Schizosaccharomyces pombe: one gene and its partners. The protein of the gene in region 1 interacts with the protein of each later gene in a pairwise test. Each region holds a gene or a part of one and is shown on either strand. Other genes may lie near its edges. The genes, in order: dre4, saf1 and prp19.

Region 1 (3,911 bases):
TTAATAATACTCATCAAAAAGTTTTCTCTTATTTTTATAAATAGTATAGAATTGGAATATGCTACACCGTTTAAAATCTTCAGTTATGAAAACTAAGCATATAGTTTAGAACATATGAGAGTCATTGACATTCCATTGGAAATACTATAATTTTAAATATGCCGGAATGGTGTACTCAAGTAGAAATTGACGTTATGAAGGGAATGAGAAAGAAAGGTCTAAGTATAAAAGAAACTTGAAAAAAGCCTTTTTTAAAACGGCATAAGAATTCATAAGATAATGATTTAGCGTAGATAAAAAGAAAGCAAGCCTATATTGAGACGGAATAAGGCTCATGATGGAACTTAGTTTGCTTCAAATTGTTTACAAAAACCATGAGCTAATTACAAGGAGATTAAAGGGTAACGACGAAAGCTATAAAAAACAGCTATACACTTAAAGTGTTTTCCCAATGAATTGAGTAAGGCAATATTAAGATTGCCGCTGGGTCTCTTGGTACTTATTGAGCACTTCATTTATTTCATCTGACTTCCATATTTTGCAAACCATTTTGTTTTTCGTGGTATCCTTTGTTATTGTTGCAAATTCAATTTTTTCATGAGTTAGGGAGTTACTGTCCAACGTTTTACTCAAAAATTTCACGGCCATAGCAGAAGCCTCATCTAAGTTTATATCATCCTTATACTCCTGTCGCATTAAGCTTTGAACACTAGTACTATTTCCTCCGATACTATTTGCTTGCCAGCTTCCGTAATTTCCAGATGGATTAGATTGGAATAGCTGATATCCACGAATATGATCCCATCCAGCATATAAGAATGAAACACCGAATGGACGTAGCCCACCATACTGTGTATAACCTTGTTTGAGGTCACAAACGCGACGAACTAATTGCTCACAAGGCATCTCTTCATTAAAAGTCTGCAAGTATTGTTGCCCAACCCTTCTAGCGTAGTTAATTAGGATGTTTGCATCTGCGGTAAGCCCTGCCACAGCACATAACATATTGTCTCCTATATGATATAACTTTTCTGCGGATTCTTCTTGTTCTAATAGTTTGCTGGTAACCTTCTTTTCAGCAGCTAAAACAATTCCATCTTTAGCTACAATCCCTAAAGCAACGCCAGCATGGTTGATCGCTTCCAATGCATATTCAACCTGGTATAAACGACCTTCAGGTGAAAAAATAGTCGTGCGAGAATCGTAGCTTCTTGACATAATGAATTTGGTTGATGACAAGTTCGAAAATGCGCGAAGCACTAGATCACGAACATTAATGAGGTCTACCGAAGTGCGATTACCACACTTGCTTTATTCTTTATGTGCTTACTACACTACTATAACAGGACTGACTTTTACCTGTCTTCTAATACAATTAATCTATTATGATTTAAATTAGTATGTTGTTAATCCGCTTATTTTTACAAGCTATGCTGTACAACAAATGTCTTTATAAATGAGAGCTATTTTTACGATAATCAATTTACCTTTAGTACTTTCATATCCTCAAGATATAAAGTTATCAGTGTAGGTTGCTAATAATTAAAATCTGCTTGTAAAAATATTTGAACCAGAGGAGTCAATACTAGTGTAAAAATGTAGCTGCTTACAAATACTTCCAGCCTGCCGTTTAACGATTTACCACGAGTTATGAATTGCTCGTAAATTTATGCGGGTTGTTGTAAATTGACAATATTAAAATTGAAGTTCTCGAAAATGTTTTATTATATTGTACTTGGTAGACCATTTCATTAACTTCTTATTTGTTCTAAAGGAAATACTTGGGAAGACGCTACGTGCGGTGCTGTTATGAGGTTTTTGTAGTATATTCAATAATGTTAACTACACCTATGAATTTATGCAATTTATACAGATTTTTTTTAATAGTTTGTAGAAATTTTTTTGTAATTGACATAACTATTCAGCTGGATTTTGCAAAACTGTTCTATCTATTCTCACACACACGCCCACTGAATACTACCTAACATAGTGTCGAACTTAACTTCTTGATTGTACATATCTTAATGTCACAGCCTTTGCCTCCTGGATGGACTGAACATAAAGGTAAATTTAATGAGCAGTTTATTTGCTAACTCATAGCACCCAGTGGGATTCCTTATTACTGGAATGCCGAGTTAAAAAAAAGCACTTACCAGCGCCCAAGTTTCATTGAGAAAAACCATTCATCTTCTGTTACTGCTTCGCAAGCTTCTTTGGCGTTTAACACAAGCGAAAAGCTGTTTGTTAATGAAAATGCTGAAGAGCGCAAAAATTCTCGAGATTTGAGGAAACAATTACCGGACAGACCAAAATTCAAGTATGTGAGGCGTAAAATTTTGTTATTAACTTTTTTTTTAGAAAAAGAATTCCTAATAATGATTCATGGGTGGTTGTTTTTACTAAGAAAAATCGGTATTTCTTTCACAATTTAAAAAGCCATGAATCATATTGGGAACCTCCTTTGGAAATTAGTAAAGACTTGAAGATATTACGTCTTCCGATACGGAAGCAAATCAGTAAAGATTCCTCACAGAGTCAGAACGTTGATAGTGGTAAAACCAACCACGAAGAAATACATGAATCTAGGCATTTACAAACAGAGATTGAAGAGCCCTCTGGTTTAGAAGAATCATCGGAGGAATCCGTTTTATATTCTGAAGAATTTTATGAAAAATCTGATGAAGAAGAGGATGAGGAAAAATCACACTCCGCTGAAGAGTTGGAGTTTGGTGAGGAAGATATTATGTATCAACTTCAACAATTGGATGATGAAACAGTTTCCTATGATATACAGGAACAAGCTACAAATTTATCTACTGATGATGCTAGAAGAGTATTTACTGAACTTTTGAAGGACAAAAACATCGGGGCATACCAACCGTGGGAACTAGTTTATCCAAAGTTATTAGACGATGATCGTTTTTACGTATTAGATTCGGGAGAGAGACGAAAAGAGGTGTTTGAGGAATATTGCAAGTCGGTGGTTTCTACCAAAAAAATTACGCGTAGAAAAAATACCTTATCGGATTTTTGGACTTTGCTTCATTCACTTCCATCTACCTTGCTATGGCCTCAATTTAAACGTAAATATAGAAAGTCGTCGACTCTTCAAATTCCAGGATATTCGGAACGTGATTTTGAGAAACTTTTCCGTGAGTTTCAGATTCTACGAAAACAGCCTATGCAGGACAAACTGTTAAATTTTAAAAAGCTATGCAAGTCAAAAACTGTAGATCCTAAAAACCCCGACGAATTCACAGAAAGCATACTTAATGACACACGATATGCCGTACTGACGCGTGAAGAACTGGATTCCTTGGCTTGTTCAAGTAATTAATGAATTTTTTATTAAATAGGTGCTTAGAGAATTTCTCATTTATTAATTTATTTGGAAAAAAATTATTTTTTTTCGCGTACTCTTTTAAGCAAGTAGTTTGTCGACGGGTGAGTTTCTTTGTTTACCATCTACTACAATTATGAAATTTCATCCGACGCGTCCTTTGGGTTATATTTCGAGTTTTTTATTATTATTTCTTTTTTCTTTACTAGTGAGTCTACCGGAGATGTAGAATCATTTATGAAATATTCGAATGTGGCCTTTTCCGAGGGGTTAGCCGGTTTTGATTCTTTAGCTCACGTATATCAAGCACTCTTGAAAAAATCCACTTGCTATCAGGAAGTTGCTGCAACTTTAATTTCCAAATGTAGCTTATTGAATACTGAGTTGACTATCGATAATCGAATTCACTCAGCCATTCAAATGACTCTTTGCGATTTTGAACGGTCTCAAATTTTGGCTCCTTCAGAATGCGTTCGTGGCTCGCAAAGTGAATGTGTATCGAAGTTGGAGTCAACTTCTACCTGGTGGCTTTCATTCACTAGTCACTTTCATGATGTAAATCACTTATGCC
Region 2 (4,030 bases), on another chromosome or scaffold:
TTCTTATAGAATTGTGGAAACAAACTTATTCATCAAACAAAGAATTTAGTTTTGTTGATGTTGGTTGCGGAAATGGTTTACTTGTTTATCTGTTGTTAATGGAGGGCTATAATGGATATGGCTTCGACGCTAGAAAAAGAAAATCATGGGAGACATATCCCCTTTGGGTTCAAGTAAAGTTATACGAAAAAGTTCTTGTACCCTATTTTCTGCATGATTTTGAAACAAAGATTCCATTTCCTCAGCTGCCTGCCGGTTTCACTATGTCCGCTGCAAACATTCATGACGGTCGATTTTCTGAAAACTCATTCCTTATCGGAAACCATGCGGATGAATTGACTCCTTATCTTCCCATTTTAGCAAGATTAAATCAGAAATGCTATTTCATGTCGATTCCTTGTTGCGTTCATGATCTGACAGGTGCTAAAATTTCCTGGGCATTACCGAAACCTCGAAATCCCAAACATGGAGGAAGATACGCCATGTACATTGAATGGCTCATGCAGCTGTCAGAGGAGGTAGGTTGGAATATCGAGGTTGAACCACTACGCATTCCTAGCACCAGAAATTACGCTCTTATAGGTAGAAAATTACTATCGAATGATCTGCTGCACTCCAGTTTAAGCACCGATGCTTTGTACGACATCGTAGAAAAAAATCATGGCTCACAAGGGTTTTTTGTCCATGCTATGCAAGTTGCAGCGGCTAATTCTCGGTCTCATTAGTTCAAAAAATTTCCATTTTTTTAATATATAGAATTCTGCCATACGGACAAAGTTCGATAGTTGCCCTTGATTCGCTTACTCAACTTTAAATGCTTTAAAGTTCGTTAGTTGAGTGACTGCTTTTTAGATGTTTATAGTCCCAAATGATGGCTTGTTTTTCTTACTACTAACACCATCCTCTGAAATTGATATAGTTCGTGTGCTGGTAATCTCTTACTGGCCGTTCGATGACTATCGGTTATTGGATTCGGTGAAGATGGAACAGCCATTGTATCTGCCAAGCTTACGGATTTCCGGATGAGGAACTTGGTTCGTAAAAATGGCAAAATTGTTTGTTCTCTTATCGATCAAGATTTAATGGTTAATAAAATGCTTTCATGTTTACAAGAAAATAAAACTATATGTGATTGGTTCATAAACGCGTTTGTAATGTAGATGGTTGTCAATATGTTTTTGATTAGCGTAAAACCTATCAATTGTTGTAACGTAAACTGTTGATTTTGGGTCTACTAATAAGTGACATAGAAGAATTTAATTATTTTCAACGAACTTTGCTACTGTTTGTTGAATCCACGACTATAAATCACCTTCCATCATAAATGTTCCCTCTACTAAGCAGTAATTCATTTTTTAAACGGGAAGTCAAGCTGAAAAATATCACTAAAATAAGGAGTATGCATATTTCAAATATTTGACAATTGCCAAGTTCAATGAGTAAGTACTTTTTCTTAAATAGCCAACTCTTACATGTCAAAAATGGAAGCCTTGAAATGCAAGGCCAGAAAAATAATTACGTTTTAAAGCCCAATTCTACTAAATGATTGCTAATACAGTAGAATATACTTAAACGAAAAGATTCTGAAATTCCATCATTGACTCATACTCTATATACACAATTAATTACCAGCCTATTAACTTTAGTTTTTAGCTCATCAACTTCAACATTACTAATTATTCTTTATTTAAATTTAATGTAAACGGTCGATTACTCAAACCAATTTAATACTATTCTTTGTCTATTTGCCTAAATATTTTATACATGTCACGTTTTTGATCACCACCATTCTAAACCCATACTATACTTGACTCTACAGAATGCTGTCAAAACGGGGATTAAATCCCGTTCAAGCGGAGAGCAGAAAGAAGAAAAAAAGAGAACAAATTAAAGTGCGAGAAGAAAGAGCAAAACGCCATGAAGAACGACTGTCGCATAGGAATATGAGCCAAATGGAACGCCAATTATCAGAGCTGACACAATTAGAATCTTCGCAAGCTTTAAATGCACATGACAAGCAATTATTACAAAATTTGCAAAGAGATATGGCAATTATGAAGAAGAAAAACATTCATGGACATAGAGTTGGGCGTGTTGAGTCAGACAAGACTAAGGAGGCAGAACGTCAACATAAACCTAGAAAGCCTTTTATCCCTAAAAACCCAAAACGAAGTATATATTATGATCCAATATTTAATCCTTACGGAGTTCCGCCGCCAGGAATGCCTTATCGTGAGAAGGAAGAACTAAGTTCAGAAACAGATGAATCCGTTATTGATATACCTTTACCTTCTGAAGAATATCCTTTTGAGGATCCAAAGCCAAGGGAAAAGAAAAATAAGAGCTTTAAGCCAAAGCACCACAAAAAGCAAGACATAAATGCAAGTTCAGCACAACCAAAATCCACTACTACGACAGAAGCTGCTGCAAATACGAAGGACATTGAAGAGGAAACTATGATTGAGTACTCAGCTCAGCCGGTAGTCAGAGATTTACGACAAGAAGCTGCTCAATTTTTACCTGCTGCGTTTCAACGACAAAAACTAGCCAAGGGGCAGAAAATTGGACAGCCAGACAGGGATGTATCGAGCCAAGTTCAGGAAGACAAGGATGAAGAAATAGATAATTTCTACAAAGAAATTGGCGGATATCTATAAAAAAGTCGTTAAAATTATGGAGATTGGAAGTAAGGATTACCAAATGGGTGTAGACGGAATTTTTAGTTAATAAACATGCATATTAATTTATATATAATATCTGTTTACTAGGTTCAATTTTAAAGGAGCTTGATTGCATCTCTGTACTTGTTTTTTTGTTTTATTCAATTATGAGTGAGCTTTCATAAGTTAATTCAAAGGCTTATTATTATGATGCGGTCAATAATTTCAAATTTTTGATGTCCAAAAAAAACAAAGGAGATTTTGTTTCTGTGTTATTGCATGATATTTATTAATGTTTTCTTGGTTCAATAATTCCTTATTATAGTCACTTTTACACTGCTTGAGCGAAAGGGGATTTCAAAAAAACACCTTATATTCATCTTTCCGTGATTATTTCAAGTTGACTGTTTTTTGTGAATTTGTCTTTTGCTAAATTATGATTGTTACACTTAGTCCTACACTGTTCATTACGAATCAGATTACCAAAAAGAAAGAAGTACATGACTAATTACTTGGATTAATTTTATTTTATTTTCATATGTATTTAGACGCCATGACAGTATTTACATGCGTAAACCAACGAATTCGTTTATCAAATAAAAATATCATAAAGGAAACCTTTAAAAATCGAAATACACATGCTTAAGTTAAAATTTGCACAATGAGAGATGAGGGAGTACTTATCTATCTTTTGCTTGCTTTTCTTGGGTTCATAATCTTTGGTTTTCGCTATAAATGCTGTATGAGACTAGGAAGCTTTTGCAGTCAATCATTCTATTATTTATAAAAACAAATAAGTTATTTATTGATTAAAAACTCGTGATACTTTTTTTTGCTATAAAATGATTTATTTACATATAATTACAAGGCACTCGCACGACCTCGTTATGTGCGAGGAGCCATGAAATTGAATCCATTGATATTAAAATTAGCCAAAATGCCATTTCTTAAGAATGGGTAAAGTCCTGTTAGAGCTGCATTCAGTACCATGGAATGAAGAAGGTTTGAGTGATAATGCTCGACTTTATTCATTTTTGGAGTTCGTAAGCCCGAAAATCGAGGAATTGAAGTACAGAAAGCTTTTGTTAGAGAAACTACAGACTCACATTAGGGAGGTCGTTTTGGATGCTGAACTTCAAGTATACGGTAGCATGTATATTGGAACAACATTATCTATAAGTGATGTAGACGTATCTTTGAAGTCACCTCGAGTTGGAGAATTGGAGAAACGACGCGTCACCATGGTTTTAAGAAAGTACTTGGATGCTGATGCTGATTTCCATTCTAGTGCCAGAGTCCCTCGCATCAATTTAGTAGATGTTAGTGGAATTGGGGTGGATTTGACGTTTGGAAATGACAAAGCTTGCAGA
Region 3 (4,572 bases), 4.7 Mb from region 1:
CAATTCTGACTCATTTCCATTGCAATAGGTATATCTTCATATTTCAACAAACATTGACTGCGCACGGATGCGTCTACGTGATTACGAAGCCAACGTAGCTCATTCTCTAAGGCATTTATGTAACGCTCGATCTGCACAGCGCTTTTAGAAGGAATGGAGTAAGCTATCAAATCTAAATCTCTTTTCCCATTTCGAGCAACCGCTTGAAAAAACAGTTCTTTTTCTTCTGCACTCCAGTAAGTTCCATCCACACAAGAGCCACTAAGAACGCCCCATTGTTCTTCTTCCAAATCAAAGTCACGCTTATTTTCAGTCTCAACTTCGTATTGTTGAAGGACGTCTAGGTATCGTTCATCATGAGTCATGTACAATTGCTCACTTGAGCCAATGATAGATGCAGTGCTTAAAGGCGTTGACCCTTCACTCTCATTTAATCCGTTTATTGAAGAAGACATGTTATTATTGAGAACATGATCAACGCTAATGAAATAAAAGCTGTTGCAGTCTTCTTTTTAATATTTTTTTGTTTACCACATTACCAGACGTGGTTTGTGTTCTGACAAAGATCAAACTCGGTATTCTAGTGAATTTCGCTAATATACTAAAATCCAAAGGAATATATAAATGTAGAGTATCTCTAAAATTTACGGGTTTTAAACATAATAAAAAAATATAAATCGTGCTAAAATCTAGCTTACCGCTTATTGAGTACAAATTTTTTGCGCATGTACAAACACCTTAATCAAAACTGTGAACAAAAAATTGAAAAAGGCTGAAATGCATATATCAGACCAAGAAAAACTCCGTATATGTAATGATCTCTTGTAAAGTAGTTTGTTAACTTCCAAAAATTCTCAACCTGAAAAACGAATGGACAATTGAATTCAAATATCATTTTATACCAACCATATTCATAAATATAAAAAAAGGGCAAGATGCGTCAAACAACGTGTGCTTGAAGTTCCTAATTTAACGTCTTATTTTCTTCTTTAAACGACGTATTTTTTCTTTTCTTCTGTCCTGTGTACGTTCAAATTTGCTCTCATACCGAAATTTCTTTTTGGCGGCATTTTTAGGCTTGTGGGGACGCAAAGGAACATCTGGTGGAGGAGAAATACGAGGCGTGACAAAACCTTCTTTAGGATAAGCAATTTCTTCATCATCATCGTCCTCTACAATTTCTACCGTAACATGCTTATCATCTTCGTCATACTCAGTAGTTTTAGGCTCCATTGATGACTCTTCCTCGCTGTCAGATTTAGATGAGGAATCTTCTTGCTGTGAAGATTCTTCATCATTTTCTAGCGAGCTATTCAACTCTTTAGAGAATGCTAATCGCTCAGCCAGTTCTCTTTTGCGCTGTTCTCTGAGCTGAATAGTGTTAGTGATATACTCAAGATAGTATTAGAAAAACTTACAGATTTCCTCAACGCTAAACGTTCTTCGCGTTTTTGCTGCTCCAATTGAACTTGAGCATGCTTTCGTCGTTCAACTTTGCGTTTATGAAATCCAGTTAAATACTCTCTGTAACAAGTTAGTAGCAATCCCTTTATGATATCCATACTTTCGCTTCTCTTTATCAAAGACGATCTCCTCCAATCTTTGCTTCTTCCCTTTCTTCCTGCTGTAAATCTCACCTCCACGGGTTAGTAGAGATGTATTATCCATGATGCAACAGTTCGTGAGTAGCTAGAAGAGAGGGACAATTTATGGGAATCTGTAGTGATTTTAAGTAAATTATCTCCAATTCTATCCAGTCTCGTAATGGTCCAGTAGATTTATGAAGACGAGAGGTACTGAAACCCTACTATGCCTTGTACGTACATTTGCACTACTAACTAGAAAATTATTTGCAAAATGCATCGCATTTGCCTTATATTATATACGGATATTGGTATAGTGCAGTAAACGATTAGTTGGCTATGCATTGCTTTCCTCTAGCTATTACACACAGAAACCAACGTGTGCCGAATGTTTTGCTCAATCAGTGGAGAAACGCCAAAAGAACCGGTGATTTCTCGTGTAAGTGGTATGTTTGTACAATAATTTCCCTGTCTGACTGAATGTAGGAAATGTTTACGAGAAGCGCTTGATTGAACAAGTTATTCGTGAAACGTCTAAAGACCCTGTTACTCAACAGGAATGCACGTTGGAGGACTTGGTTCCTGTAAAGGGTAAGATTTCCTTCTTTATTATTGAATGGTTAAGAATTTCAAGTAGCACTTATTTTTTTATACGTGGAGTACTGAATATTCTGAAATTGGTTTGGAAAGTAAAACCCTGCAATATTGGTTGAAGAACTCGTTTATTTTCTTTTTTTTGTTGATAATGTATTTTATTGCATGATTGATTTGTACTCGAAATTTTTTAATTTTACAGCTTTATATTTCTCCTTAAAAAGTGGACTATTTAGTGCATGTCAATATCTCGGGGCAGAAATTAGGAAGGTTTTTAGAGAATTATAGAACAACCTTGTCGGATTTATCAAAACAAATCTTTATCAAAATTAATGTGGAGTTGTTGAGGAAAATGTATTAATACTTTAGATTTTTTTTGGTTTTTGCTCTCCAATGCGATTTATATTTACTATATTTTGATTGTACTGACCATTCACATATAAAGCGAATCAAATCGAAGATAATTGCTAACCTTTAAACAGTACCTGATTTTGTTAGACCTCGACCTCCTTCTGCCACTTCATTGCCTGCATTGCTGTCTCTCTTTCAAGAAGAATGGGATTCTGTCGCGCTTGAGCAATTTGAACTTAGAAGAAATCTTACAGAGACGAAGCAGGAGTTATCAACGGCATTGTATTCGCTAGATGCTGCGTTAAGAGTTATATCTCGGCTTACCAAAGAAAGAGACGAAGCTAGAGAAGCATTGGCGAAATTTTCCGATAACATAGGCACTGTTTCCTCGAAAACTATTGAAGTACAAGAGGTAGAGATGGGCGAAAGTGATGACCAGCTTAAAACTAGCTTACGCTCTACGGTGGAAAAAACATTTCAAGAACTTTCTTCCAAAAGGAAACGTACAAAGTTACAACCTAAATGGGCGACTGACGATGCTGTGAGTCAGCTCTTGCAAGCTACTCCTTCTACTATCTTAGAAAATTTGGAAACAGAAAGCACTACGTCTTTCTTCCCGTCCCCTGAAAATTCTTCTTTTGTATTATGTCTTCATAAGGATGAACTTTTATGTCTAGATATCCAATCCAACAGTACTCTCAAAATTTTTGAAGGATCAGCTTTAGCGTGTTGTTGGTTGACTTCTTCCAAGATTGCTGTCGCTACTGCTGATGCCATTTCAATTTTTGAATTTCCTGTTTCCTCATCTGGTTTACAAAGTGTGGGTGAACCTACTTCGTCCATTCCTATAGACGAAAAGGTGAACTTCCTTCAAGCTCATCCAAGTGGGGAATATTTATTAGCAGCATCAAACGAAAAGTGTTATATTTTCTCCCTGAAATCCCAGGTTTATAATATCACCGTTGCTCAACACATTACATCTCTTGCTGTACATCCGGACGGTAACCTCTTTGTCGCTGGGTTAGAGAATGGCGAGTTACGCTTTTTTGAGACTTCCTCGGGAAATGAGCTTACAAAATTTGGACCACATTCAAGTCCAGTTAAAACATTACAATTTGGTGAAAACGGTTATTGGCTTGTAGTAACAACTAATGATGACTCTGACATTTTCATTTGGGACTTAAGAAAATCTGAGCTTGTTCAAAAAATACCCCTACAAACCAAAGTCGCAGCAGTGTCATTAGATATTACTAGTCAACTTTTGGTAAGTTCGGATGGGGAGACTCTCTATGTACATATTTATGTCAAATCTTCAAAGTCTTGGAGATGTATGAGTCAAACCCATGTTTCCTCTATTTCTAATTTGGTTTGGTTAAATGAGTTACACCAGTTGTTGTTTAGTACTTCAAATGGAGCCATTCTCCGGTTGGGTTAACCCAATTTTTAATCCTTTAATTATGTGCTCCTCCATTAGGCTTTTCGTATTTAGTAAGATTTTGGCTCTTTAACTTAAGTGATTTCCTTCATAATGAAATATTTAGGCAAACTATTATTTTTCAGATAGATGTATCATTAAATTTTGACATTTGGTTTAATTGGCAAAAAATAATTTATGTGAGTTAACTCAAGTGTCAGAAACAGTGGGAGCCTCAGTTGTTTCTGATGCTTCTGGTTCAATTAAACTGACTTCCAGTAAATGATTTTGTAGTTTAGTAAGAGTTCTTTTAACTTTCTCAAGATCAGGCTCGCTGTAATCGACAGTCGGAAAAGACGTGGAAAGAGAATTAGTGAGCCAATATGATTTAATTTGTCGAGAAACATCCAGTAACTGTTCTACCGCGCGAACCATGGACACAGTATGGCATTCAATCTGGTAAACCTCTGGTGCTACCGTATATTTATCTTTGCCTTCATTTATAGCAATATCCAGTATGTCTTGAAACCTTGACAAAATAGTTAGTGTAGCATTGTCAATAGACGAATTTAAAGTATTAGTTCGCTGAACTAGCTGCCGTTGGAAACTGTCTGAAGACATACTAGCTTT

What was found.
Region 2: the proteins of dre4 (region 1) and saf1 interact in a two-hybrid assay, tested with the Schizosaccharomyces pombe proteins (2 studies listed by BioGRID).
Region 3: the proteins of dre4 (region 1) and prp19 interact in binary tests that used the Schizosaccharomyces pombe proteins (3 or more experiments, as listed by UniProt).

What each region holds. Positions count from the first base shown.
Region 1 is NC_003424.3:424,006-427,916, forward strand, and holds dre4 (splicing-associated factor Dre4), read left to right. Parts: upstream 1-1,972; 5' UTR 1,973-2,024; coding exon 2,025-2,064; exon of another isoform or gene 2,065-2,100; coding exon 2,101-2,317; exon of another isoform or gene 2,318-2,358; coding exon 2,359-3,337; 3' UTR 3,338-3,410; downstream 3,411-3,911. Other genes in the region: pre9 (proteasome core particle subunit alpha 3), read right to left, coding at 472-1,218; nuclear membrane protein Tht1, read left to right, coding at 3,578-3,911. UniProt on the Schizosaccharomyces pombe protein: Component of the spliceosome involved in mRNA processing.
Region 2 is NC_003421.2:1,652,056-1,656,085, forward strand, and holds saf1 (splicing-associated factor Saf1), read left to right. Parts: upstream 1-1,792; 5' UTR 1,793-1,820; coding exon 1,821-2,657; 3' UTR 2,658-3,527; downstream 3,528-4,030. Other genes in the region: trm44 (tRNA (uracil-O(2)-)-methyltransferase), read left to right, coding at 1-725; poly(A) polymerase Cid12, read left to right, coding at 3,614-4,030.
Region 3 is NC_003424.3:5,131,271-5,135,842, forward strand, and holds prp19 (Prp19 complex subunit, ubiquitin-protein ligase E4 Prp19), read left to right. Parts: upstream 1-1,952; 5' UTR 1,953-1,971; coding exon 1,972-2,029; exon of another isoform or gene 2,030-2,069; coding exon 2,070-2,174; intron 2,175-2,513; exon of another isoform or gene 2,514-2,659; coding exon 2,660-3,963; 3' UTR 3,964-4,072; downstream 4,073-4,572. Other genes in the region: RNA polymerase I upstream activation factor complex subunit Rrn5, read right to left, coding at 1-455; rRNA exonuclease Rrp17, read right to left, coding at 970-1,371, 1,419-1,524, 1,565-1,668; srb6 (mediator complex subunit Med22), read right to left, coding at 4,153-4,563. UniProt on the Schizosaccharomyces pombe protein: Probable ubiquitin-protein ligase involved in pre-mRNA splicing. May also function in DNA repair.